7 linked regions of the Rattus norvegicus genome follow. The main gene of each other region encodes a partner of the protein of the gene in region 4 in a complex. Links are inferred from orthologs where the notes say so. Each region holds a gene or a part of one and is shown on either strand. Other genes may lie near its edges.

Evidence for each region.
Region 1: Htatsf1 (region 4) and Ddx46 share a complex: the UniProt entries of both Homo sapiens proteins name them as parts of the 17S U2 SnRNP complex. The link is inferred for Rattus norvegicus from reciprocal best matches to the Homo sapiens genes HTATSF1 and DDX46.
Region 2: Htatsf1 (region 4) and Sf3a2 share a complex: the UniProt entries of both Homo sapiens proteins name them as parts of the 17S U2 SnRNP complex. The link is inferred for Rattus norvegicus from reciprocal best matches to the Homo sapiens genes HTATSF1 and SF3A2.
Region 3: Htatsf1 (region 4) and Sf3b4 share a complex: the UniProt entries of both Homo sapiens proteins name them as parts of the 17S U2 SnRNP complex. The link is inferred for Rattus norvegicus from reciprocal best matches to the Homo sapiens genes HTATSF1 and SF3B4.
Region 5: Htatsf1 (region 4) and Sf3a3 share a complex: the UniProt entries of both Homo sapiens proteins name them as parts of the 17S U2 SnRNP complex. The link is inferred for Rattus norvegicus from reciprocal best matches to the Homo sapiens genes HTATSF1 and SF3A3.
Region 6: Htatsf1 (region 4) and Sf3b1 share a complex: the UniProt entries of both Homo sapiens proteins name them as parts of the 17S U2 SnRNP complex. The link is inferred for Rattus norvegicus from reciprocal best matches to the Homo sapiens genes HTATSF1 and SF3B1.
Region 7: Htatsf1 (region 4) and Sf3a1 share a complex: the UniProt entries of both Homo sapiens proteins name them as parts of the 17S U2 SnRNP complex. The link is inferred for Rattus norvegicus from reciprocal best matches to the Homo sapiens genes HTATSF1 and SF3A1.

What each region holds. Positions count from the first base shown.
Region 1 is NC_086035.1:8,976,604-8,980,103, forward strand, and holds part of Ddx46 (probable ATP-dependent RNA helicase DDX46), read right to left. Parts: coding exon 3,421-3,500; intron 2,049-3,420; coding exon 1,935-2,048; intron 975-1,934; coding exon 809-974; intron 310-808; coding exon 189-309; intron 1-188. UniProt on the Homo sapiens protein: Component of the 17S U2 SnRNP complex of the spliceosome, a large ribonucleoprotein complex that removes introns from transcribed pre-mRNAs.
Region 2 is NC_086025.1:9,563,400-9,567,667, reverse strand, and holds the start of Sf3a2 (splicing factor 3A subunit 2), read left to right. Parts: upstream 1-1,468; 5' UTR 1,469-1,507; intron 1,508-3,902; 5' UTR 3,903-3,938; coding exon 3,939-4,064; intron 4,065-4,173; coding exon 4,174-4,245; intron 4,246-4,268. Other genes in the region: Plekhj1 (pleckstrin homology domain-containing family J member 1), read right to left, coding at 524-590, 831-1,080, 1,194-1,372. UniProt on the Homo sapiens protein: Component of the 17S U2 SnRNP complex of the spliceosome, a large ribonucleoprotein complex that removes introns from transcribed pre-mRNAs.
Region 3 is NC_086020.1:186,420,278-186,424,466, forward strand, and holds the start of Sf3b4 (splicing factor 3B subunit 4), read left to right. Parts: upstream 1-1,389; 5' UTR 1,390-1,626; coding exon 1,627-1,660; intron 1,661-2,037; coding exon 2,038-2,166; intron 2,167-2,610; coding exon 2,611-3,153; intron 3,154-3,378; coding exon 3,379-3,585; intron 3,586-4,189. Other genes in the region: Mtmr11 (myotubularin-related protein 11), read left to right, coding at 123-269. UniProt on the Homo sapiens protein: Component of the 17S U2 SnRNP complex of the spliceosome, a large ribonucleoprotein complex that removes introns from transcribed pre-mRNAs.
Region 4 is NC_086039.1:139,971,592-139,975,541, forward strand, and holds the start of Htatsf1 (HIV Tat-specific factor 1), read left to right. Parts: upstream 1-1,150; 5' UTR 1,151-1,352; intron 1,353-1,369; exon of another isoform or gene 1,370-1,540; 5' UTR 1,541-1,596; coding exon 1,597-1,782; intron 1,783-3,133; coding exon 3,134-3,314; intron 3,315-3,644; coding exon 3,645-3,692; intron 3,693-3,950. UniProt on the Homo sapiens protein: Component of the 17S U2 SnRNP complex of the spliceosome, a large ribonucleoprotein complex that removes introns from transcribed pre-mRNAs.
Region 5 is NC_086023.1:142,250,936-142,255,206, forward strand, and holds the start of Sf3a3 (splicing factor 3A subunit 3), read left to right. Parts: upstream 1-1,471; 5' UTR 1,472-1,534; coding exon 1,535-1,630; intron 1,631-1,906; coding exon 1,907-1,954; intron 1,955-2,253; coding exon 2,254-2,306; intron 2,307-2,407; coding exon 2,408-2,513; intron 2,514-3,549; coding exon 3,550-3,622; intron 3,623-4,271. UniProt on the Homo sapiens protein: Component of the 17S U2 SnRNP complex of the spliceosome, a large ribonucleoprotein complex that removes introns from transcribed pre-mRNAs.
Region 6 is NC_086027.1:63,999,220-64,002,719, reverse strand, and holds part of Sf3b1 (splicing factor 3B subunit 1), read left to right. Parts: intron 1-1,597; coding exon 1,598-1,777; intron 1,778-2,129; coding exon 2,130-2,216; intron 2,217-2,313; coding exon 2,314-2,584; intron 2,585-2,850; coding exon 2,851-2,996; intron 2,997-3,095; coding exon 3,096-3,242; intron 3,243-3,500. UniProt on the Homo sapiens protein: Component of the 17S U2 SnRNP complex of the spliceosome, a large ribonucleoprotein complex that removes introns from transcribed pre-mRNAs.
Region 7 is NC_086032.1:83,261,471-83,264,970, forward strand, and holds part of Sf3a1 (splicing factor 3A subunit 1), read left to right. Parts: intron 1-29; coding exon 30-287; intron 288-3,363; coding exon 3,364-3,438; intron 3,439-3,500. UniProt on the Homo sapiens protein: Component of the 17S U2 SnRNP complex of the spliceosome, a large ribonucleoprotein complex that removes introns from transcribed pre-mRNAs.

The sequences.
Region 1 (3,500 bases), on a different chromosome or scaffold from region 4:
ATGGCACTTAGCAGGGAGAAGCAAGAGCCTCTGTGAGTTCAAGGCCAGCGTGGTTTACATAGTGAGTTCCAGGACAGCCAGGGCACATAAAGAGAAACATAACTGAAATCCAGAGAGATATGTGTGTGAAGGGCTACTACCCGGAGTAGCAGGGACACTGAAAAGTGCAGATAACCACCAACACTTACTTTTTGAGGGAATTCAGTATCTTCATGGAAATTCCACACTGGACCCATGATTTAATTGGCTTGGGGCAACCTTTTCCTTTAACTGTAATGCCCTCCATTTCCAACCGAAACACATTCACCTCTAGAAAACAAAGGCCCAGTCAGAAGCTCCTACACTTTGTACCATCTAGCCACATTCACTAGGCCGTCTGTCAAGGGTCAGAGGCCTCACCTCCCCTAAGTGCTATCCAATAGACATACAAGAGCCATACAAGAGCACCCAGCACACGGTAATCACTGCCACAAGACATGAGGATAACAGCAAGTGCCCAATTTCAACATTTTGGTTTTAATATTTTCTTCAATTGCAACAGAATGATTGACAGCCCTGTTCTAGCCAAGTCGCCCGGATTGTGCTCAGCAGACTGACAGCTGTCAATCATATGAACAGGGCCAGCACAGTCTGTTGGAATTGGACATGAACGGTACTTTAACCCAGAGAACTATGGAACTAACTCCATTCTGCACTTCTTAAAACACTTCCAAAGCCAAGCCAGGCCTGTGCACACTCCTACACTCCGCTGAAGCGACCGTTTGCTCAGAGGTCACAATAAAGGAATAAAACTTGTAGAACTTCTTACCTTCTTGAGACATTTTCGCTAATTCTGGAACTTCAACGTAAAAGTTTTTTCTGAATGGCTCATACTCAATTTTCCCATGATCCACTGGCTCTAGAAGCTTTCTCTGTTTTGTCTGGTAGCCTGTGAGGGCCGTCTGAAGGTCAACCTCTTCCTCCTCCGAGGAGTACTTGAATTTTCAGGAATAAAAAGTAAAGTCTGTTATTTATTTCATCTTCCGGAAGTCAGAGTCCTGGTTGCCAAAGCTCTCCTCTCTCCTAGGAACCACTGTGTGCATCGCTGTGTGTGATCCCACTATGTGCTATCTAATTCTGCAGGGTTTCTGTGCAACTCCAGGAACCTGGAAACTGCATCATCTAAAAACCTCAGGTCCTCAGGTAAGAATGTCCATGATTTTGAACTTGAGTATATAAATCCTTAAAAAGTTTTCAAGTTAATTTCTTTCTCTCTTTCTTTCTTTCTTTCTTTCTTTCCTTCTTTCTTTTTAAAGATTTACTTATTTATTACATATGAGTACATTGTAGCTGTCTTCAGACACACCAGAAGAGGGCATCAGATCTCATTACAGATGGTTGTGAGCCACCATGTGGTTGCTGGGAATTGAACTCAGGACCTCTGGAAGAGCAGTCAGTGCTCTTAACCGCTGAGTCATCTCTCCTGCCCAATTTCTTTCTTTCTTTCTTTTTTTTTTTTTTGGTTCTTTTTTTCGGAGCTGGGGACCTAACCCAGGGCCTTGCGCTTCCTAGGTAAGCTCTCTACCACTGAGCTAAATCCCCAACCCCCCAATTTCTTTCCTTATTCAAAGCTTTAATGTAGCACTGGCCTCACACGACTCTGTCAGGAAGTTCTACTCTTCCCTTAGCCAGACCTTTAGAGTGCAAGTCAACTGGAAGACGTGGCCGTTCACTACTTTTCCTGTGTTCTATGCCCAACATGGGCCAATCAAGAGGAGGGAGTGAAAAAGGATACAAGAGGACAGATCAGAATATCCCACAACCCCGCCCGCCCACCACACCCCTGCTGAGACTGAGAGCAGCAGGGACCCCCACAGGAGTCTATGACTGCAAAGCTTTGCTAGAAATGTCCCCAGGACACGATCATATACAAGGCAAAAGGAAGGCCGCCTCACCTCCATGGCGTCCTGGTCATTCTCCATCAGCTCTCCCTTCTTCTTGTCGGCATCTACTACTGCTTTCTTGGTTGTTACCACAGTAACCACTTTCGTGACAGTCGGTCCGGACTTCTAAAATAAAAAAAGTATTAAAATATTTTGCAAAAGCTAAACAAAAAATAAAGAGATTCAAAAATACATGAACACTAGATACAAAATGTTAGATTCCCACAATGTGCAATTCAAACTACCATGATTTGTGTTTTTAAAGGAGCAAGAGAGCTGTGCTTTTGTCCTGTGGGAACTTCCCAATGTGACGGCATGACAGTTCAGACACACTCAGGTACCCAGAACTGACTGCAGAATACGTATGTGTATACAACATTTTTAAAATGTATTTTTATGTGTATGGGTGCTGTGCGCTACACTTGTACCTGATGCCTGAGGAAGCCAAAAGTCAGTTTCCATTGTGAGTCGCCATATTGGTACTGAGAACTGAACCTAGGTTTGCTGCCAACAGCAGCAAGTTCTCTTAACCCCTACGCCGCGTCTCCAGGCCCAACATGAGACACTTCACTACGAAATGGGCTCATTCCTCAACATTAACATATTTTTTAAATTCTACTAAATGTTGTGTTTCACTCATTAGACAATCCAGCCCTGTTCTGAGGAGCTTAAATCAACCAATAAAATACACTGAGGTCCTTACTTCCTTGATGCCTTAAATGAAATTTTTAATTTTTTCCCCAAGTACCCTCCAGGCACAAAACAAAACAAAAAAGCATCCTTTTAAAAAAAACTGTACTAGGGGGTTGGGGATTTAGCTCAGTGGTAGAGCGCTTGCCTAGCAAGCGCAAGGCCCTGGGTTCGGTCCCCAGCTCCGAAAAAGAAAAAAAAACTGTACTAATTTATGTCCTTGCCCATGTCTAAGGACCACACGCACATGCGCTACCATGTGAGGTCTGGGAATCAAACCTGGACCCTCTGGAAGAGCAGTCAGAGCTCTTAACTGTCTTAGTCAAGTCTCTAGACGTGGGACTGCATTTTTTTTTCCGACCAGGCAGACGGCTCAGCAGATAATGGTACTTACTAACAATGGAGAAAGGAGCATACCCTTGCCTTTGCAAGTTACCTTCTGACGCCCACAGTCCCAGGCACACTGTGCTGTGCTCATGCCTCCCATCTCACCCCACCCCCAACCACCACCACTTAGGAAATAACTGCAATAAAAACAGCTTAGTCCAGTTCTTTTTTGGTTGTTTTGTTTTTGTGAGACGGAGTCTCTCTATGTAGTCCTGACTGTCCTGGAACTCAGAACGCACTATGCAGACTGCGCTGGCCTGAAACTCACAGAAATCACCTGCCTCGGCCTCCCTAGTGCCAGGATTAGAGCTGTGCACCACCCACCCCTCACTACAGCCTAGCTTCCTTCTTTGTGATCACCTAAGGTAAAGAGCCCAATAACTTTTAAGTGACAAGTGACCAATGCCAGACGTCCACGTACCTTCTCATTTCCTGCGCCGCCTTTCACGCTCCTCATGTTAAACTTTTTTACCTCTTCTTTCACTTCCTCCATGTAGGCAT
Region 2 (4,268 bases), on a different chromosome or scaffold from region 4:
TGTTTTATGTTGGAGGCCTACACAGTGGAAGATGAAATCCAACTACACAAGTTTTCCGCTGGCCTTTCTGGCATACTCACACCCAGAAACCCATGCGTGCACATGTACAAGAAGCAGAAAATAGGGGTACAGATGGAGAACCCCACTGGATGACAGAGGTAGACACGATGGACAAATCTCTACAAGGTACGCAGCAGAAAGACCTCTCCAGAGGTGAAGGCTGAGACAGGTGTCCTTCAAGGCCTCAAAGCCCTGCCCGCACACTCACTCCCACGGCAGAGACTGCTTCAGTTATACACACCAAGTTCACAGACTGCACCTCTCTCGGCCGTAAACCGGCAGAGGATCGGGGAAGAAACTAAGATGAGAACCTGACCCAGTGGTCACTCTGAGTGACAGCTGGGACAGTCATGGGCCACCAGCGGACGCGAGATCCAGGACAAATGGAGATTCCTAAGGGAGTAAAAAGGATCGCGTGCGCGGAGCAGAGTCCGGGGTGGAAAGTGGGGAACAGAACACTTACTGATGGAGAAGCCTCCCGGCTCTTCCTGGGCCACTCTGCAGCGCTCCAGCAACAGGGCTCCGAGGGGCTGCGCGAGACACGGCCATGAGCACCGGCCTCTGGGCCGCGCGGGTCCCCCGCGCCCCCCACACCCCTACCTCGGCCTCGTCCGGGCGGAAGTAAAAGAGGAAGTTGACCACCAGCTTCACCAGCCGCCTCTTGGCCACTGCAGGCAGAGGGCGGTGTCAGCGCGCAACTGCTGTCATCCGCCCACCGGGGAACCCCGCGGCCCGCCCAAGTGTCCCAGCCCCGGCCCGGACCAGCTCACCGCTGCCCTTCTTGGGGCCCCGCATGCCCAGCTCGGCCGCCATCTCTGCCGGCTGCCGGGACAGCGCTTGCAACTCTTTCTCGTTGTACCGCATCTCGCCGCCCGGATCCGCGCGAACCAAAACGCGCCCTGCCTCTCGGCCGCCGTCCTGCCCGAAGCCGCTACTAGCGCCACAAAAGTCTCAGGAAGCGACCTCGTAAGTCCCAACGGTGCTACTGCGCCTGCGCGTTGTTGGGCGTGTTGCGTGACGCTAGTTGGTGGGTCAGCACAGTAGAACAAGGAGTCGGACGGGAAGGAAATCGCCCGTCCTTAAATAACCGTCAGACACACTGAACGTGGGGTGTAAATTTAGACTCATAGCACCTCACGATACGCGAAGCTCGTTCCCGGGCCTGTGAACCCTGAGGTTTAAGTCCTGTCGCGATAGTCAGCGCCAACAGAGTTAGGGCGGAGCAAGAATTCGTAGACAATGCAGTGCGCACGCGTACTCCGTGTCCCGGCGCTCTTTTTTTTTTCTCCCGCCTCCCGTAGGGGGAGTCCATTCGCTGGGCATGCGCACACATGAAACTCCGCCTTCCTTGCCCCCGGAAGTGATTGCTCAAGCGGTCGTGCGCATGCGCACAACAAAATCGCGGCATTCGGGGAGGTTAAGCCCAGTTACCGAGGCCTTGGTGTTGGTAAGGAACTACGCGGTTTGTCGGTGGCGGCTGCCCCGTCTGTGGGTCTTGAAAGTAGGAGCGAGAGCGTGGGGCCTGGCGGGGCAGCGGCCGCCCTTTCCCCTTAGGCGTGGCGCACCCTCGCCCTAAGAGCGCGGTCTCGCGAGGTCCTTTGAGTCGTGGCGTGATCGCGGACTTTTGTGGCGGTTCCGTGGCCTCTAGGGTGGTTCGGGTTCTTGGAATGTCATTTAACCTGCTTGTTTGCCTCAGTTTCCCTCGCCGTTAGTCAGGGCCATGGCGACTACTGCTCCTGTCCACTGTAGTAGGTCTGTTGCTCGGATTAAAAGATAACGGTATATGCATTTAAAAGTGATTTGCGGGGTTGGGGATTTAGCTCAGTGGTAGAGCGCTTGCCTAGCAAGCGCAAGGCCCTGAGTTCGGTCCCCAGCTCCGAAAAATAGAAAAAAGAAAAAAAAAGTGATTTGCCTTTAGACCAGGCAGGCCTTCTCCCAGACCGTGACCTTAACATATACTACTCTTCTGTTTCTATTGATCGTTCATCGGTAATCTTAGAGTAGTCCGTGAGGTCGCACGGCTCCCAACCATTCATCCTGGTCTCTTGTCCCAGGCTTCACTTGTGAGTCCATCCAGTCATCGGCACAATTTTACTTTATTTCAGACAGCGTCTCACGGCATAACTGAGGCTGACCTGGAACCCTGTGTGGACTAGGCCGATTTCGAGCTCACATACACTCCCATACCTCTGCCTCCCGCATACTGAGATTTACAGCGTGTGCCACTACACTTGACTGTTTTGTTTTAAGGAAGGTTTATTTTGACTGATAGTATGAAGGTGCAGTCCACTATGGTGGTCGTGTTACAGCCATAGTCAGGAAGCAGATAAAAGCTGGTATTGGAATCCCTTTCCCGTGTTTTTAAAGATTTTTTTTCCAAATGTGTGTCCATGTGGAGCTTCATGTGTGAGTATGATAACGTCAAGTCCAGGAGAGACTGTCAGGTTCCCTGGAGCTGGAGTTTCTGGTGGTTGTGATCTGCCACTAAGTCATCTTGCCAGCCTACCCAGCACCCTTTTGTCTTTTATTTGAGACAGATCTCACTGCACAGCCCAGTTTGGTCTCAAATTATACCCATCATCTTTCTACCTTGGCCTCTAAGGGAGCTGGAAGGAAATGTATACACTGCCATGCCCCATGTTTTCTGTTTCCTGAGGTTGGGAACTGTTGGTGGGCTGAGGCGGTAGTTCATTGGTGAGCGTTTGCAAAACTTTGTGCTCCATCCACTGGGCCAAGCAGTATGCTCACCCAGGCCAGTTTTATTCTGCTTTCCTTCCAAAGCTGATGAACTACATTTCTGCAGTGGATATCCATGCACTCAACCTCAAGCATGCCCCCCCAGGGGACCCAGTGCATGCTGGACAAGTGTTCTCCTTGAGTGGCACCGTCAAGTCTGTGGATGGACACCCAGCCTCCCTGGGGAGGCCAGCCACAGAGTCCTATGTTCTCAAGAGTTGTCTTTGCCTGAGCCTGGAGTGGTTTTCCATCCTGCTGCTGCTGCTTGTGGGTGCCCCTAACTCTGAGAAGCCAATTGATTCTCCCACCGTTTGGCTGTACTCTCGTGTCTGGCCAGCTTCATCTCTGGGAGTGTGTCTGTTGGTAGCTCTGGATGATGTAGACGATGCCCTTCTCAGTCTTTGGCTGAGTACAAAACATCTAATAGGCTGCTCCTGTCCCGCCACTTCAGTGTACACCTCTCAAGCCGTCCCTCTCAGCACCTAGAGCATCCTGTATCCTTTGCCTTCTGGCCTCTTCCTCCTTGACAGCCAGTGCTGTCAGTGGCCTGTCAGCCTTGAGCACACTCTAGTGACATTGTAGTAACTGGGTACCTGCCCTCAAGGTTCTTGGTCACATTTGTAGAGCCCCTTGTGCTATGGGAGGCACCAGTGATGATGACAAGAGCTGTCTCTACTTGTCTCCTGGTCGCTGGCCCTGGGTTTACTGTAGGTTTACCAGTAGACTGAGTAGTCTTAAGTGTTCTGCCTCAGGTAACACTGTCTGGAGGCTTTGGCTGAGCCTCCAAGGTGAGACCCTTGGTATCGAGCATTCCTTGTGTCAGGCAGAGGAGGGTGTGTCCTCTAATGCCAGCAGAGGTAGGCAGAGGCCAGCCTAATGTGTGAGGAGAGTTCTAAGATAGCCATGACTACGTAGAGACTCCTCCCTCAATAATAACAACAACAATAATAGTAATCATATGTTACATCAGGGAGAGGCGGCTCAATGGTAGTCACAGCACTTGGGAGGATCAGGAGGTCAGAGAAGGGATGGCTTGCATGCTGGGCCATCCCGCGGTCCTAGCATCATCAGCAGGGTTCTAAGCCTTAGTCTTCCTTGCTCCCCAGGTTTCTCCTGTCCCCTAAAGTACCCAGGCCTGCATCATGGACTTTCAGCACCGACCTGGAGGCAAAACTGGGAGTGGGGGCGTGGCCTCCTCCTCAGAGAGCAACCGGGATCGAAGAGAGCGCCTGCGGCAACTGGCCCTGGAAACCATCGACATCAATAAGGTGGGGGAGGGAGAGTCTCCAGGCCTGCAGAGCCCTCACCTTGCCCACCTTGGTCCTTGGGTCCCGGGGCCAGGCTGTGCGGTCTCACGGTACATTTCTTCACTCCCAGGACCCGTATTTCATGAAGAACCACCTGGGATCCTATGAGTGCAAACTCTGCTTGACTCTGCATAACAATGAGGTACCTGCCCACCAGACTTCCAC
Region 3 (4,189 bases), on a different chromosome or scaffold from region 4:
ACAGAGAAACCCCAGTCTTGAAAATAAAAACAGACAAACCTGAGAAAAAAAGAAAAAGAAAAAAGAAAAAGGAACTAGACCTGTGACAATCTCTCTTTGCACCTTCCTTTGCCTCTCCCCAGATAGGCTCTTCAGCTCTCACAATCTCTGGCCTTCAAGATGAGCTGTCTCATCTTCAGGAACTATTAAGAAAATGGACACCAAGAATATCTCCGGAGGACCACAGCAAGAAAAGAGATCCAAATACTATCCTTTCTCAGATCTGCTGAAACTGCTAGCCATCTCAAAGGCAGGGCAGAGGGCGGGGGTTTGTTTCTGCTGATGTTTATGTCTGACCTTGGTGCTTCGGGTTTGGTATTCCAGTCTGTAAAGCTCACTTAGTAGGCCAGTTTCTGTAGATGGTGCTACCAACCTCCAGCTCTCCTGTCTCGTTTGGTTCCTGGAGCTATTTTTGTTTCTTGTGATTTGAAAAATAAGAAACAAAACCAATTCAGAATGATTGCCTTTTTTCGAGGCAATTCTGTGCCATTTGGATGGTTGTCAAAAGTATGATATCAGAGACCCTTTTCATCAGCCCCAGCAAGGTGTCCTAGAGACCTCATTCTCAACCCCTCAACACTACATTGAAATCTTTTCTTAGTCTTCTGTGGGAATGAGGTGAATAAGGGAGACACCTCCTCCTCCCACTGTATATTTTTGTAGCAGCATTTCTATTTAAGGAGTTCATTAAAGCACAGTATTTCTACACATTGCTGGTATTTTCTTGTATTGAATGAAGATCTCAGCAAAGCGGTGGTGGTTGTGGGGTAGTGTGAACTGAGAAAAGGACACTTATTATTGTAAGGAAATAAAGGATTGGCAGGGCTGGGCAGAATGCACATGAAATATTGGGAAAGCCCCCCCGCCCCACACACACATACGCACACACACCTTTTTTGAGACAAGGTCTCTCTGTATATCAGGCTAGCCTGGAATTTTTTTTTTTTTTTTTCCGAGACAGATTTTTCTGTGAGGCCATGGCTGTCCTGGATCTCGTTCTGTAGACCTGGCTAGCCTTTAGCTCAGAGATCCACACCTGCCTCTTAAAGCTTCAATACCTGCCTGTGAGCACCCTCGGTCTCAAATTTCCCAAGATTGGAGGAGCTCTGACACTTACGGGAAACCAAAATACCTCGAGCTCAAGCCTAGGCCGAGGGCGAATCTGCACGAGCGTTGTGGACCGAATTAAAAATAGGCTGTTTTCAAAGGCAGTCCTGGCCCTGGATATGGCGGGACTTTGCCTAGCACACGTCTCTGCGTCACAGAACATACAAAGCTTGGTTTAGCATTTCAATTTGCGCTTGGGGTGCAGTGTGATGCCCTAACAGTCTGGAAGCATTCAGGGCTTTAGTTAACTGTATCAAGACCGGCTGATTCACTTCTGTTCCACCCCGATTGCTGCGGCAGCTCCAGAGCACCTTTCCCTTCTGTCCGACACGAATCTGACTCCTAAGATGGCCGCGATCGCTTCCGGCTCCTCCCTTGTCGCCGGCCCCGCCCAATGTGAGCCTTGGCCCGGAAGTGGAAGTAGAAACTGAGGTCAGGGGGGCGGTGCTGCTGCTTAGAGACGGCGGGAGCCCTTTCGCCATGGCTGCCGGACCGATCTCCGAACGGAATCAGGGTAATTGGGAGAAAAGAGACCAAGATAGGGGCAGGGAAGTGAAGAGCTGATTAATGCCAGAAGCATTTCTGCTTGGGTGGGAGACGAGATCCCTCTGATGTGAGACCGACCTCTGGGCGCCTGGCTCGCCTCGAGGCCAAGTGGAGGCCCAGGCCTATGAAGAGTGATGCTTCTAGATCCATTCTCTTTAAATACTCCTCTACCAAGAAGACAAAATTCTCCGGAAATACAGGATCAGCAAGAATGCCAAATTAGACGTAGCGGATTTTTCTAGACTGTGGAAGCTGAGGGAATTTCGGGTCTTTAGTTAACGTTTTTGGTTTTTATTTTACTTTTCACTCTTGACCCTCTCCTTACCTCCTGCTTCTTCCCTTTAGATGCCACGGTGTACGTGGGAGGTCTAGACGAGAAAGTGAGCGAGCCACTGCTATGGGAGCTCTTTCTCCAGGCAGGGCCAGTGGTCAACACCCACATGCCAAAGGATAGAGTCACTGGCCAGCACCAAGGTGAGTACATGTCGAGAATTAACCCTGTATAGCGTTAACGGCCCCTGAAGAGTCACAACTCCAGTCACAACTACTTTGGAATGAGCAACCTAAAGGTTCTTTTCCCCCTTAAGCTTCAGTTCAGTTTTTGGAATAGTTTCTCTTAGCACTAGTTACTGGAACCATTCTCAAGTGAAGTAAGATTATTCTTCTGTCATGTTCTTTTTATTGTTTTATTTTCAAGACAGTGGTTCTCTGTGTAGTCCTTGGCTGTCCTGGAACATGCTCTGTAGACCAGGCTGGCCTCAAACTCAGGGCTCCACCTCTGCTCCAGCATGGTGGCATTAGAAGCATGAGCCCCCACCCAGCCCTTACCTGCTTTGTTCTTTGTGTTTGCAAACTGGTGAGTTAATGTTTGATTTTGAATCTCTTCACCTGAGTGGTCTTTTTTCATTGGTTTCCTAGGCTATGGCTTTGTTGAATTCTTGAGTGAGGAAGATGCTGACTATGCCATTAAGATTATGAACATGATCAAACTCTATGGGAAGCCAATACGGGTGAACAAAGCCTCGGCTCACAACAAAAACCTGGATGTAGGAGCCAACATTTTCATTGGAAATCTGGACCCAGAAATTGATGAGAAGTTGCTTTACGATACTTTTAGCGCCTTTGGAGTCATCTTACAGACCCCCAAGATTATGCGGGACCCTGACACAGGCAACTCCAAGGGTTACGCCTTCATTAATTTTGCTTCATTTGATGCTTCAGATGCAGCAATTGAGGCCATGAATGGGCAGTACCTGTGTAACCGCCCTATCACTGTGTCTTATGCCTTCAAGAAGGACTCTAAGGGTGAACGACATGGCTCAGCAGCTGAACGACTTCTGGCAGCCCAGAACCCGCTGTCTCAGGCTGACCGCCCTCATCAGCTGTTTGCCGATGCACCCCCTCCACCCTCTGCCCCCAATCCTGTGGTTTCATCCCTGGGTTCTGGGCTTCCTCCACCAGGTACAGCTTGTAGTTCAGACTATGCCAGTGAGGCCCATGGGAGGGAGGTCAGGGGGCAGAGGAAGCCCTGGAAGAGTAAGCTGTGAAGTCAGTGGGCAGTGAGGGAGGAGTGAGGATGCTGGTGGGAGGGAAGAAGTTGGTGCATGTCCTTAGGAAGCTGGAGTGTAGCATGCTGGGAAAGACATTCTGTCCGATACCACTAATTGTCCTTCATTTCTTAAACAGGAATGCCACCTCCTGGTTCGTTCCCACCTCCAGTGCCACCTCCTGGGGCCCTTCCTCCTGGGATACCCCCAGCAATGCCCCCACCACCTATGCCACCTGGGGCTGGAGGACATGGTCCCCCAGCAGCAGGAACTCCAGGGGCTGGACATCCTGGTCATGGACATTCACATCCTCATCCATTCCCACCAGGTGGGATGCCCCATCCAGGTAAGTGCGCTGAGCTTGTAGAGGGGCCTTTGTACTGCTTCTCCCAGTGCTCTTTGTCTTGGGTGGAAATAGTCCAGAGTCCTTTTCTTCAGAAAACAAACAATACTTTGTACATGTTGGTGTGCTCCTGTGTTATCTCCACCTATAGCTTGTGCTTGGCAAAAGCTCTCAACCTCTCCTCTGCTTCCAAGGTTGCCAAATCTAGAAGACATTTCTGCTTTTGGTTTTTCGAGACAGGGTTTCTCTGTGTAAACCTTGCTGTTCTGGAACTCCCCCTGTAGACCAGGTTACCCTTAAACTCAGGGATCCTCCTGCCTCTGCCTCCCAAGTGCTGGGATTAAAGGCATATGTATTTTTAGATTTTCTAATGTCAACTTTAGCAACCTGGATCAATTCCTTTTTTATGTATGTGTAGATTTCGTGCTTGGTTCTCTTTTCTGTGTTTATCTGTAGTGTTAAATGTGAAGGTTATGATTTATTCTGGGTCTCTGTTCTGAGGTTCTTGGTAGACTAGAAAAGGCTGCTGCTCAACCCACAGTTTACTTTTCTCTTTCCAACACCATCTTCAATGGCTCTCACTTGTAGGAGCCCAGTCCACAACTCT
Region 4 (3,950 bases):
AAATTTTACTTGCATAGTTAACATTATGGCAACAGACGTTGTTGTTTGTTGATAAACGTAGTCCACACACCAAAAAAAAAAAAAAAAGCTGTTTAGAATTGTCTAGTTTTTGAGTATTAAAGGATGCTGAAAACAAAATAAAACAAAGTAATTGCTGCTGTCCAGCATCTGGTGCTTCCACCCTATTGTTCGCCAACTATAATTGAACCTCCCTTGATCTGTCTTCTCAGCAGCTGCCTCAGAATCGCCCCCTGGCACTTAATAGTTCAGTAAATGCCTGTCTGTTTTAAAAATATGGACCTCTTCCCTTTTCGAGGTACATGAAACATCTAAGAGAAAAGTCCCGCTTTTCTTAGTAAGGCAGTAGGCTGTCTTACTAAGAAACAAGGAAATGGGGCCACATGGTTCATCTCCTATTTGTACAAGGGGATGTTTACAGTCAAGCTTCAAATTCCAGGCTGGAACACCTCTGACACGTTGCAGTAAGCCGCAGGCAAAAGCTACTCTCACCTACTGCAGTCTGAGGGTGGTACCAGAAGCATAAAAACGGGGTGAGATTTAGCTCAGTGGTAGAGCACTTGCCTAGCGAGCGCAAGGCCCTGGGTTCGGTCCCCAGATCCGGAAAAAAAACAAAAAACAAAAAAAAAAAAAAAACGGGGTGAGATTAGGAAGCGATGGCTTCTGCCCACTTTTCTTTCACTCCTTCTTCACTAGACGCCAAACAGTATATTAGGTGTTTGGGTTACTAAGGTGAACAAAAGCCGCGTGTACCCTAGGGCAAGCATTTAAAAATAAGTAAACCCTTGGCTTCTGCGCAGGGGCGGGGATTTGCGCGAAGGAGGCGCAAAGGTTTCGCGAAGCGGGAGAAACTTGTCCCACGGTCCCACCCACCTCCCCAAGATGGCGCCTGCCGCAAAGCCCAAACACAGCCAGCTCGTCTGGAAGAGTTCCGCGTCCTTTTTCAGGCAATCGCTGCGGCGAAATTCGTCCGGAGTGCAGAGGAGCCCAAGGTTCCCGAGGTGCCACGCATTTCTGCAGGTTGCGTCTCTAAGGCGAGTTACCATTAAGTATGGACACGCGGCGGCAGCCAGGCTTTGAAACCCCGCCCCTGTCCGCGCAAGCGTCGCGGACATATGACGCCACGTGGGCGTGTCGAGCGATCCTTACGTCGCCACGCGCGGACAATGGCGACCGCATCAGTCTGAGGCGGACTTCGTTCTCAAATAGTTGCCTGACGTGGCGGAGGAAGCTGTAGTGCCCCCGGAGCCAGCCGCGGCGGTAACCGCGCGCTTGCGCGCTTCCGCCTCGCCCTAGACCTAGCGGTGGCGTTGAGACCCCGCGGAGTCCGCCAGGTGGGTGGCGGCGACAGCGCTGGCAGTTTCTAGACGCATGCGTGCGCGAGTGGGGCGGGCAGGAGGGCGGAGTTGGGGTGGTACCGCTTAGACTTCCCAGGGTCTGCTGGGGCGCTGCGGGAGGCGGCCGGGGAGTTGCAGTGCACGTTCTGAGCTCTGCAGACCTCTCTTTCTCTGCTCTCTTCCAGCGCCCTTTTGGCCTCTTCACTTCTCTGACCGTTGTGTCCGGGACTACGTGAGAACCATGAGTGGCAGCAACTTGAGCGGGAACGATGAATTTGATGAGCAGTTGCGAATGCAAGAATTGTACGGAGACCCCAAGGAAGGTGACACCCAGAATGAGCCCTCTGGAGAAACTGATTCTTTGGGACAACCACCAGATGACACTCCCTACGAGTGGGACCTTGATAAGAAGGCTTGGTTCCCTAAGGTAAGAGAGTAGCTTGAGTCCCACTGTGGAGCGGGACATAGGGCTCCCTGACCACCTTTGCGGGACATCCCTCTTATGTTTGCTCCGCTGAAGTACTTGGTCTTTGAACTGGTGGTTGGTGGCTAGTCTGTTCAGTCTATTGCAGCCCCGATGTATAAAGAAAAGTAAATCTTAGAGTGGTGCCTTAAGTGTGTTTTTTTAATGTCTTATTAATTTGTGTATGTGTGTGTGTGTGTGTGTGTGTGTGTGTGTGTGTGAAGGTCACAGTTCATTTTTATCTGGATATTTTTACTGCAAAGAGGAAAAACACCAAGAAAAACACATTAATAAGAGTTTTATCCTGTATAACCAAACTTAACTTACGCTTCGTGTACATGCTTGTGCCTAATGTAGCTTGTTGATTTACCGGGTCAGAAAGCAGTCATTCAGCTCATTCTGCCGAATAAACTTTTCTTGATTCTTGTTTTGTTTTATTATTCTACTAAATTTTGTTCCAGGACATCTAAGTTTGGACCCTCTAAGCACAGGAGTATGACTAGGAATGCGCAGGAAATGGATGAAAGAGAACTCTACATTTGTTTCCGAGTACTTGGGAATTGCTAAGTGTTTAGTTTCAGCATGGAAATAACACAACTGGTGTTGAACCCGGTGTTATAAACTGTAGGGTGAAAGTACTCTGTTAGTTTTAGCCTCATGGGAACTTTGGCATCAAAGGGTACTAACAGCACACCAAGCGATTGGAGAGCCAATCACACACAACTTTTCTCCATTGTGCAGGGGGATTGATTGTTGGTTCCAAAATTCTTTATTTCAGCTATTCTTTCTGATTTTGTATTTGCGCATATTTCAAGCACCCCAAACTGTAAAAATTTACAATTGAACTTCTGGACTTGCAATGCCTTTTCGAATGTAGATGAGATTTCTTTCTGAGCACTTATAATAGTCTGACAAACTATTATTTGGTATCTGGGCACCCAAAAGTAGATACTGCAATAGATTGCTAGTGGACTTTGGGTTTTACCATCTTGTTATTCGATACTTCTTTTGTTTTATGTATTGGCCACTTTTGTTAAATATACTGTAAAGAAGTAGTAGTTTACAAGAATGTAGAAAAAAGTGGTAGCATCACTTAAAACTATGCGTGTGGTTTTGGCAATCTGAGCACCCTTGTCCTACTTTGATTGCACTACACGTTTTCCGTATAAGGTGACTGGTCTTGGATTATATTTTAATTAGTAGAACTACTTGTGGTATAAACACTTGTTTAAGTCTTAGCTTATATTGTTGAATGTAACACAGTTTCCACAAGTGAAGTCACCTTGTCCGTCCATGTGTTGACTTATTTATCTAGATCACCGAAGATTTCATTGCTTCGTATCAGGCCAACTACGGCTTTTCTGGTGATGGTGCACCCAGCTCTACTGGGAATGTCCAGGACGCCAACACTAAGACTGTAGAAGAGCCGCCACAGAAAGAAATCCCGGAAACCACTGACTCCAAAAAGAGGGGAGAAAAGAGAAAGGCTGAATCTGGCAAGTGGTTCTGTCTTTGCAAAGTCCGGGTTTAAAAATGAGATAGGAAAAATGAGTGAGTCCATTGTACATGTTGGAGGCAAGAATGATAATGTGAGTTTTCACTTTAAGATAGGGTTATAGTCATGAAGGATAGAAAGAACGCTAAAGGTAATTCTCAGTCAAAAGGTTTATGTCTTTTGGAAGATACGTAGGGATTTGAGTTAGGCGTAGTTGTCTGAGATAAAGAGGACATTCTAAAACTTTGAAGAAACTGCCTTTGCTAAGATTTCCTAATGTAATTCTTGTTGTTTGTTTCAAGTGTTTTATTTATTTCCCTTTGATTTTTAGGATGGTTCCATGTTGAAGAAGACAGAAATACAAATGTATATGTGTCAGGTATTTATCCTGTTGCAGTGCAGTTTTCACGTTGGTATCCTTTAGTGTTGAAACTGCGCTAAGTGAGTTTTAGTTTCGGTGTGTTTTGTTCACCTGCTTATGCTAGCTGGAATTTAATGAGGAGGGATTGAAGAAAAGTTATGCAGTGTTCCATGCTGTTTTGTATGCCTGCCTTAGAGAATTCACAGCAATTTGTTCCTTTACATTTAGTGAAACATACGCATAGCATAACTGATATTTTTAATATATAAAATGTGA
Region 5 (4,271 bases), on a different chromosome or scaffold from region 4:
ATGCTTTCATGGTTCCTTAGAGCGTTCCCTCACTGCTGAACAGTGTCCTCTGATAACACGTTTATCCATTCACCCATGAATTAGGTGTGTATGTATGTAAGAGTGGATGGCATGTGTACCAGGGTGCCCAGTCATTCCTTGGACCTGGAGATGCAAGTGGTTGTTAGCCACCTGACTCGCGTGCTGGGAACTGGATTCAGATCCTCCGGAAGAGCAGCGAATGCTCTTAACTGCCGAGCCATATCTCCAATCCCAATTAATGGACTCTTGGGTTACATGCAGTTTTGGTGAATTATGAATAACAGGAGCATATGGACAATGTTTTCATTTCTCTGCCTAGAGTAGGCATGTAGTAGAGTCCCTTTTCTTGTGTTGATGTTGAAACCTGTACCTTGGATTTCACACGCGTATGTGTCCATGCGTGTATCTGTGCGTGCGTGCATGCGTGTATATGTTGTTTTGAGATAGGGTCTTATCACATAGCTCAGGCTGAACTTGAACTTATTTTCCTCTTACCTCAGTCCCCTAAGTCTGGATCACGGGTGTGAGCCACTCGACCTTGCTCTAAAGCTGTTTTTCCCAATACATGCTAGACAGGCACTCTATACCAATTCACGCTTTGTCCCTATTCTGTTTGTTTGTTTGTTTGTTTGTTTGTTTGTTTGTTTGTTTGTGTTTATTTCCTGAGACCGGGTCTTTATGTCGCCCTGGCTGTCCTGGAACTCACTATGTAGATCAGACTGGCCTAGAACTCAGAGATCTTCCTGCCTCTGCCTCCTCCTCTTCCTCCTCTGTCAAAGAAAGTCAGCCTAGATTTCATTTTCTAAGCCATACAGTGGCCGGGTATGGTGGCTCAGACCTGTAATTCCAGCAAGTTTCTGCGAAAAGCAGAAAAATTAAGAATTACAGAGAATCAGAAGCCAACCTGTATCAAATAGCAAGCCTACCATTGCTTGAGTGTACTACATTTTTCTTAAAGACTCCTCTGCTAATAAACAAAGGTTGTGTTTTAGTATGAGTAAGTATGACTTTTGTTAAGAACAAAATCACCACCATCTGCATTTTACTGACAGACATACTAAAGTCCAGACAAGGGGAAAACATCACCAGAGGTCACACACTGAAAACTGGAGCTTCCAGGTCCCCTTTCCTGTCTGTATCCTTCAGTTTATCGGTTCAAATGTTAGTGTGTCCCAGCCGGCCCAGCTGTCTGCAGCAAGCCTCAGGCAAGCCAGCTGTCTCTCACCCTCAGCCTGCAGGATTCTTGCAGGCAACCTAGAGACATCTTTCATCGCTGAAGCATCGCGTTTTCAGACCTCCAGCCAGCAGGGGGCAGTGTAGCTACTGTCGCCGGTAGCATCGACTTGCTCTCTTTGTGGTGTTCATTTTTTCTTGAGTCCCCCAAGCCACTTCCGGGACACGCGGAACTTTGGTGCAGCCGGATACTGCGCTCAGAGACACGGGCGTGCAAGGCGGCAGGCAGTGTTTCCGGCAGTGTTAGCGGTCTGAATTGAAGTACCGCGGCCAAGAGAAAATGGAGACAATTTTAGAGCAGCAACGGCGCTATCATGAGGAGAAAGAACGGCTTATGGATGTTATGGCCAAAGAAATGCTCACTAAGAAGTCCACGGTGAGTGAACAGTGGTCGGGGTCGCATCAGTAGGAGGGCCTCGGCCCTCAGCGGAGCTCTCGGCGTTTTATTTGGTCTCAGACCCTCCCTGCGCCCCATCTTCATCTTCCTCCTAAGCTGTCTGGGCGCTCTGGCCTCCTTAACGTCTTCCGAGGGCCCAGCAGCCCTTCTGCTTCAGCCCCTGAGACCTAAACCAATAAGCTCATCCTTCGGGTGGCCTTTCCAACTCCTGAACTCAGAGTAACAACGTATGTGTTACCGTTTGCCTTTCTGCAGCTCCGGGACCAGATCAATTCCGATCACCGCACTAGGGCCATGCAAGATGTGAGTGCCCCGCTGTCTGCTTCCCTTTGGGTCTGGCTGGGCGGGAAAAGTGCTGGCAGGGAAGGTTTGGAGGCTCAGCGTGATTCCTGCCCCTGGGTTCTTAGTCAGATATCCTCTCTCTGCCTCTCAAAAGTGTGGGCGACTACTCTGGGTTCGGGCTGTGTTGTAAAAGTGGTGGAACTTTCAAGACTTTGTATCCCGTGAGGTTTCCTTGGGTCTTGCCAAGACTCCCTTTGTTGTTTACCTAGCCCCATTGTACAAATTTGCTCCATTCTGATGGCTTTGTGTTTGCGTTTCAGAGATACATGGAGGTCAGTGGGAACCTGAGGGATTTGTATGATGATAAGGATGGGTAAGTGACAGTCACATCCCTTCTAACAGTGCTTCAGGGGAGCCATGGTGAAATGATGGCCTTTGTGCTTTATGCACTTTGAATTTGCTGATATCTTGCAGATTACGAAAGGAGGAGCTCAATGCTATTTCAGGACCCAATGAGTTTGCTGAATTCTATAACAGACTGAAGCAGATAAAGGAATTTCATCGGAAGCACCCAAATGAGGTGAGGCTCCCAAAGTAGTTTCCCAAGACCTATCCTTAAAAAAAGGAAAGATGCGAGGAAAATGGTGGCATGCCATATAGATGTCTGTCCAAGAAAGAACGTGCCACTTCACTGCAGTGAGCACAGTTAGGCGACATCCTTCCTGGTGTTCCTCTGCAGTAAGAGAACACAGGAAGCACTAGAGCCTATTTCTTTCTGTCCAGTGAGAGATCGGGTGACCTTTGCACCAGAGTTCTTTATTGGTTTAGTTCCAATTTTGTCTCCCTCATAGTAGCTTTCCCCCTACCCAAACTTACTTTTTCCTTTTTATCTCTCTTAAGAATTTCTCCCACCCAATACAATGTGCTCCTAGCTCTGGCTTGAAATCTACCAACACAATTGTACTGTGCTCATTCCCAGAGTTCAGTGCACCTTCAGAACTCGTGTAAAATATCTCTTGTGGACTACCTCCTCCAAGGCAGTCCTTCCTTAGGATGCTGTATTTGTGGCAAGGAATCAGACGTCTGCCCAGTTATAAAGCAAGGGAAGCTGAGAACACTAAGTAGTGAGCTCCTCTGTACACTTAAGGTCAAAGCGAGCATTAGAAGCCCAGCCTTAAAGACTTGCAAGTATAATATGCATATGTATATACTGTAAATATGTGTGCTTATGATGAGATATAGTTCAGGCTTTTAAAGAAAAAATTCCTGACATTTGAGACAATATGTATATAAAAAAAAACCTGTCAAACATTTTATTTGTATTTTATGTTTGGTAGATTTAAAGAAATAGAACAAATTTGTTGAACGGTTTTTTTTTTAATACAGTATCTAGATGTACATGGACAACCAAATAGGAAACTCCACAAATTGATGTTTTAAGAGTGTTTTATAAACTGATGGTAAAGACTGTATGTTTGGATTTAAAAGAAGCCCAGTAGATGAATAGTTTCACACTAAATCTTGTAGATTAACCAATCAGTGAAAAAAAGCAGTCCAGCCCTGTACTACAAGCCTGAGACATTGCCAGACCCACCTGAGCTTTTCTCTCCCACCAGATCTGTGTGCCAATGTCGGTGGAATTCGAGGAGCTCCTGAAAGCTCGAGAGAATCCAAGTGAAGAGGCACAAAGTAAGTAATGGCTTGATGTTTCTTTCTAGGGAATCCAAATCCGTTCTGAGCTATATAGCTACGACCTATGTTTTTTTTCTTAACCTCTTTTTAAATTTTGTCTGTATGGCTGTTTTGCCTGCATGTATGTCTATATACCACGCGTGTGTGTGATGGCCTAAAGAAGCCAGGGGAAGGATCTACTCCTACTATAGTTACAAATGGCTAGCTATCGTGTAGGGATTAGGATTCAAACTCAGGACCTCTGCAAGAGCAGCCAGTGTTCCTAACTGCTGAACCCAAGAGCCTGTCTCTAAAAACATAAATAAAGGCTGATTGTGATGAGTATAAATTTAATCTCAGCCCTCAGGAGTCAGACAGTTCTCTGGATTAAATAAAGGCCAGACTTTCTTTTTTAATTGTATGGTGAGTTAATATCTTTTTTGTTGATATTTATTTATTCATTTATTTATATCTGCATTGGTGTTTTGCCTACATGTATGTATGTTTAAGGGCATCAGATCTCAGAGTTACAGACAGTTGTGAACTGCCATGTGGATGCTAAGAATTCATCTCAGGTCCTAATGAAGAGCAGTCATTGCTCCTAACCGCTGAGCTATGTCTCTAGCCCCATTATTTTGTTTATCTTGAGACAAAGTTTCTCTCTAGC
Region 6 (3,500 bases), on a different chromosome or scaffold from region 4:
CCGAACCCAGGGCCTTGCGCTTCCTAGGTAAGCGCTCTACCACTGAGCTAAATCCCCAGCCCAGCTTTTTATTTTTTTAGACAGGGTCTCTACACAGTCCTGGTTGTTCTGTGATTTACTAGGTAGACAAGGTTGGCCTAGAACCTGCAGAGGTCCACCTGCCTCTGCTTCCCAAGTGCTCAGATTAAAGATAATGCATCACCTTTATTTAATAAAATTGGGGGTGTGTACCACATCTGATTCCTAGTCCTAGTGTTTGATTTGTTATATTCATTATTTTTGTTGGTTAAACTATCCCAGGCTGGCCTGAAACTCGTAGCCCAGGCTGAATTTAGACTGATAGCCATTCTTTTTGCCTAGTTACCCAGGTAGTGGAATTAGCAGAATAAGACATGACACTCTGCTCTGCTTCCCTTTTGACTTTGTATATGCTCTCTGATAAGTTGCTTAGCGTGATCTTAGCTTGTTCAGGCAGGACTGAGCTTTGGAGCCTCTTATCCTGGAGTACTGGTTGGGATTACACACTCATGCTCCAAGCTCAGTGAATTTAACTTCTAATCAAAGGAGTTTTTTGTTCTGATAAGGATATGAGATGGCTAATTCTTTTTGTCCTTGACAGCTTTAAAGTGTTTAGAACTTAGAGGTAATTAGTGGAAATTATGACTTGTAACAACCAAATGTGGCTTGAACATAGAAGAAGGTTGTTCAGGCAGAACTAAGGCATATGGTTTAAGCTTGTATAGATAGCTCCATAGCTCTACTAAATTATCCTTTTCTTTATTTAAAAAAAAATCTTGGGCTGGAGAGATGGCTCAGTGGTTAAGAGCACCCGACTACTCTTCCAGAGGTCCTGAGTTCAATTCCCAATTCCATGTGGTTACATGGTGGCTCACAACCATCTGTAAAGAGATCCGATGCCCTCTTCTGGTGTGTCTGAAGACAGCTACAGTGTACTTATATTTAATAAATGAATAAATCTTTAAAAAAAATCTTATTTATGGGCATGTGCACATGGAGCACAGGTAGAAGGTCAGGATAACTTGTAGGAATCAGTTCTTTCTTTCTATTGTGTGGGTTCTTAGGATTGAACTCAAATGATCATTAGGCTTGGTGGCCTGCCATTACCCTTTACACCCTGAGGAAGGAATCTTGCTAGTGCTCTAAGTTACCCCTTTTTCTTTTATGCTCATCTATTTTTTACACACATGCATGTGTGTGTGCATGGTGCATAGATATGTGAAGGGGACAGGTAGGGTCGTGCTCCAGGATGCTTCAGAGGACGGCTTTTGGAAGTTGTTTCTCTCCTTTCATTGTCTGGATCTCAGGGTTGAAGTGGAGTCGTTAGTCTTGCGATAAGCACCGTTATCCTCAGACCTCAACTGCCACTAAATTAATTGCCCCCTTTAAATGAGCTGATAGTGTTGAACTTAGACCATTAGAGTTTGAATATTAAAAGTTTACAGAAATGAATTCAGACGACTGTATGTAAATTGTCTACAAAAGTGCAAATTATATTATTATTCCTGGTGAAATTTGCCACTTTGGAATGTGTGTTTGCTCATAAAAAATAACTTTCTTTTCCATTGATTTTCCTCAGGCTGCCTTACGTCAGATTACTGATAAAGCTCGAGAATTTGGAGCTGGACCACTGTTTAACCAGATTCTGCCTCTATTGATGTCCCCTACACTTGAGGATCAAGAGCGACATTTACTTGTGAAAGTTATTGACAGAATATTGTATAAACTTGATGACTTGGTGCGGCCATATGTGCACAAGGTTGGTTTGTTCTCTAGTGTTGAATGGTTTCACTTTTATTTTTCTGGTTCTATTTTGCACTGTGTGGAATATGGAAGTTGTTATTCTCGTGTGTGTGTGTGTGTGTGTGTGTGTGTGTGTGTGTGTGTGTGTGTGTGTGTGTGTGTGTGTAGCCCTGGCTGACCTAGAACTTGTTCTGTAGTCCAGGTTGCCCTTTTGAACTCAGTTCCACCTGCCTCTGCCTCCTGAGTGCAGATTAAAGGAATGTGTCACTACTGCCAGAGAATTAAAACTCTTTAATCTATTTCTCCATTAACAAATGTCTTTGATAAATTGATGTGGAAATGTAATTCTTTCTTTTTCCTTCATTCAGATTCTTGTGGTTATCGAGCCACTGTTGATTGATGAAGATTACTATGCTAGAGTGGAAGGCCGAGAAATTATTTCTAATTTGGCAAAGGTATTCACATTAAATTCCTAGAAAAGGAAGTTTGTCTTTCCATGGGTTGAGGATTAATGGTACTAACTAAAGCTGCTGTTGTAACTTTTCCTTTTAGGCTGCTGGTCTGGCTACTATGATTTCTACCATGAGACCTGATATAGATAACATGGATGAATATGTCCGAAACACAACAGCTAGAGCTTTTGCTGTTGTAGCCTCTGCTCTGGGCATTCCTTCTTTATTGCCTTTCTTGAAAGCTGTGTGTAAAAGCAAGAAGTCTTGGCAAGCGAGGCACACTGGTATTAAGATTGTACAACAGATAGCCATTCTCATGGGCTGTGCTATCTTGCCACATCTCAGAAGTTTAGTTGAAATCATTGAGCATGGTAAGTGGTGATGTGTCGTTTATAGATCAGCTGTCCTGATAGGGGCAGGTGTATATGTAAAATAAATGAAAGGCTTTCCTCACACAAACATTATATTTAGAAATGGGGTTTGTAATATTTTCTGTTAACAAATTGCCTTTGTCTAAATTATATGTACTGCAAAATAAATTACTGCAGTTTGGATACATGGTTCCATACATTGCTAACATTTGGATTGCATTGTGAAAATGGTCTGGGTACCTATTCATAACCGTCTGATTGTATAGGTCTCGTGGATGAGCAGCAGAAAGTTCGGACCATCAGTGCTCTGGCCATTGCTGCTTTGGCTGAGGCAGCAACTCCTTATGGTATTGAGTCTTTTGATTCTGTGCTCAAGCCCCTATGGAAGGGTATTCGCCAACATAGAGGAAAGGTAATCTGCGCATTAGATCTGTTTCTGTTGCTAGTCATTAAGATAACCCAAAATTAATGTACTGATATGTGTATATGTATATATTTTACTTTTAAATAGGGTCTGGCTGCTTTCTTGAAGGCTATTGGGTATCTTATTCCTCTTATGGATGCAGAATATGCCAACTACTATACTAGAGAAGTGATGCTAATCCTTATTCGAGAATTCCAGTCTCCTGATGAAGAAATGAAGAAAATTGTTTTGAAGGTAAGGAATTAGTAGTTCAGTTTGTGGGCACATGTTTGTTAGCACACTGTGCATGTGTTAGGAAGTTCAAAGAGATCTTTATAACAAAACAAAACAAAACAAAACAAATCTATGTTTCACACTATAAAAGTTATTGCAGTTTGGATACATGGTTCAATACATTGCTAACATTTGGATTGCATTGTGAAAATGGTCTGGGTACCTACTCATAACTGAGTCTGATTGTGTAGGTCTCGTGGGTGAGCAGCAGTTGTGTTT
Region 7 (3,500 bases), on a different chromosome or scaffold from region 4:
GTTGTGTTTTGCTCTGCACTCTGTCTTAGGTCCAAGCCCAGGTGATCCAAGAGACCATAGTACCGAAGGAGCCCCCTCCTGAGTTCGAGTTCATCGCTGACCCCCCCTCCATCTCAGCCTTCGACCTGGATGTAGTGAAGCTGACAGCTCAGTTTGTGGCCAGGAATGGGCGTCAGTTTCTGACCCAGCTGATGCAGAAAGAACAGCGCAACTACCAGTTTGACTTTCTCCGACCCCAGCACAGCCTCTTCAATTACTTCACAAAGCTGGTGGAGCAGTATACCAAGGTGCTGGGTTGGGTACAGGGTGCTGCAGCTTCCGCTCTCTGTCAACCAGGATACTTGCTTTGTGCGTCATCCGGGGAAATGTGAATCCCAGCTTGATCCAGAGTCTTGATTTAAAAAGTCTATATATTTATGTGTGTGAGGAGGAGGAAATGTACGACTGTGTAGGTGCTTTTGTGCCTTGCCATGGAGTGCACTTGGCATCAGAAAACAGCTTTCAGTTCTCCTTCCTTGAGGATCAAACTTAGGACATCAGGCTTGCATAGCAAGTGCTTTTACCCTGTCAACCATCTCCTTGGCTCTGAGTCTTTTCGTTTGTCGTTCTGTTTGAGACAGGATTTTCTTTGTGTAACAGCTCTGGCTGTCCTGGACTAGTTTTATAGACTAGGCTGGCCTCAAACTCAGAGAACCACCTGAGTGCTGGGATTAAGTATTGAGTTCGTTCGTTTCTTTCTTTCTCCCTCCCTCCCTCCTTCTTTCTTTCTTTCTTTCTTTCTTTCTTTCTTTCTTTCTTTCTCTCTTTCTTTCTTTCTTTCTCTCTTTCTTCCCTCCCTCCCTCCCTCCCTCCCTTCCTTCCTTCCTTCCTTCCTTCCTTCCTTCCTTCCTTCCTTCTAAGACAGGGTCTGACTGTGTAACCCTAACCCTGACTGACCCTTGAACTCAATATTTAAACCAATCTGGCCTCAAATTCAGAGATCTTTTGTCTGTGGGATCAAAGGTATGGGCCCCCACACCCAGCTTGTATTGTTATCTCTTTAAATACTTCTTGGTGTTGAAGAGATGTGTTTATAAATTGCTGTTATTAGGTGGCCATCTGCTGTGTGACAAGACTACATAGCCCTCTCTGCTTTTAGGTGTCCGTGCATTGCCACTTGTCTGCTACAGGGCCTGAGAAGCAAGCTCTTAACAGTTGCCTCCTGTTATCTAATTAAACCTCACAGAACTTTTAAAGTGGTGTTTCTCAACTTTTCACAAGCAGAAACAGGCTAAGAAAGATGATTTCATGGGGCTCTAATTACCCCTCAGTAGTAGAACACTTCTCTAGCATGCATAAGGTGCGGGATTCAGCACTGTGCTGGAGAAAAAAAGACCAAAAACGAATGTGGTGTGAAATCAGTCATGATATGTGCGGGTTCAAGCTTGTAAGCAGGGTCGCTGAGATTCGAGTCTTTGCGGTCTTGACCCTGTGGAGTAACTTCCATGAGGAAACGTTGAGTATGACTCTGCTATCACTGCAGCATCTTCCCAAAGGGCCTGATGCTGTTTAAGGCCGTTATCCTGCCTCTCAGTTATCCTGGCTGGAGCCACACAGGCTGCAGAGCTGGCCCTTTTTTATTACTCCTGACCCTAGGTTGCACTGCTGCAGTCATGAATCAACACAGCAAGCCGGGCATGGGGTGCATATCGTTAGTCTTAGCACTCGGTGGTGGTGGTGGTGGTGGTGGTGGTGGTGTTGGTGGTGTTTGCTTGTTTGTTTGTTTGTCAAAAGACTGGGGTCTCCTCATGTAGTGGGGTTTCATTTGAAACTCACTATGTAGACCAGGCTAGCCTTGAACTCACAGTCTGCCTGCCTCAACCTCCAGAGTGCTGAAATTTCATCACTCAGGAGAAGGGAGGATCGCTGAGTTCAAAGCTAGTTTGTGCTGCATTGTGAGTTCTAGAACAGCCTTGCCTACAGACTGAAACTGTTTTTTTACAAAAAGAATCTGATACAGTAATCTAATATTGAAAGTTAATCAGAGAGCTGGATATAGAAGCTAACACTTCTAATCCCAGCTCCAGGAAGGTTGAGGCATGAGGATTACTAGGAGTTCGAGACTTTACGCTTTAACAATAAAATGTTTGATATGCTACAAAGGCTATTCACCTGGTTTAGGTTTACCAGCGGCACATTTTTCTTGTTTTTCTTTTTAGTGGCATGGTCTACATCTACTGTTAATATTTAGAAACAGTGTTAGAGATCTAAGTTGAAAGGACTCATAAGGATTTGCTCTGAAGAATAAAGTTAGAAATATTTAAAAATGTGTCTTTAGAAAATGACCAAATCTAGAATCTAGTAGAGCAGTAGAACAATGACTGAAACCCTAAGCCACAGAAATCTGTAGGTATACAGTCTCAGGGGTTTGTGGATTTTTTAATTTTGTTTTATTTATTTCTATTTTATGTGTGTGACATGGGAGTGGAAAATGGTCATCAGATGCCCTGGGACTGGACTTAGCAGATGCTTGTGAGCCACCTCGAGGGTTCTGAGAATCACACACAGTCCTCTGAAGAACAGGCCCTTAGCTGCTGCTTATCTCTTTAGCCCATAGTATCAGTTCTAAGTCAGTTCTAAGTATGGTGTAGGTCCAATTCGAACTTCCATAGTTAGAAGTTCTCAGATATCTATTTTGTTATTTTTTTTGTTTTTTCCTCTAACTTTGGATATTGGTATTGACTCATAACATGAAGGCACTAGAGAAGGCTGTTCTAGATAGATTCTAGGGGTAGAAGTCCAAGGATGGGAAGGTAAAATTGTGCTGCTTTGTGAGTAGAAGTAGATATTGTGGGAGGATTGGAATGGCTGTTAGAATAAAGGCAGTCAGTGTTCTGTTCCTCGGGAAATGCACATTAGACATTATTTGTGGTTCTAATCACAAGAAGACAGGAATCTGTCTTGATGGAGATCCTTAGTGGGTAGGAGCATATAGGTTAGGAGCCTGTGTCGGATGGAGATAGGTACTCTGGGTAAAAGGCATGGAAATACTGGGAAGAAAGGGAAGAGGTAGCTGCAGTCCTGAACAGGACAGCAGGGCATACATCAGTGTCACTTAAGCAGCTAAAATAGCATGTTCTAGGAAACCTGCCTATGGCTTGAGTACTTGACTAGGAATCCTGGAAATGGCTTTCTCTAGAGGTACTTTCTTAAGTGGTGGCGTCAACATTTGGAGAAGGAAAAGCGCATTCTAGTTGTTATATAACTTGCCCCAAACCCTACATCTGGAATCCATCTCTTGTGTCCTTTGATGGGCCCAGGAAGACTGCCTCTTTGTCTTAAACTGTGTGAGATACATTGACAGTTGTTCTAATCCTCTTTCAGATCTTGATTCCACCCAAAGGCTTATTTGCAAAGCTCAAGAAAGAGGCTGAAAATCCCCGAGAAGTTTTGGACCAGGTAAACACAGGATTTCCTATTACAGAAACCAATGCATGGGTTCTCAATGTGTGGGTTTTGTT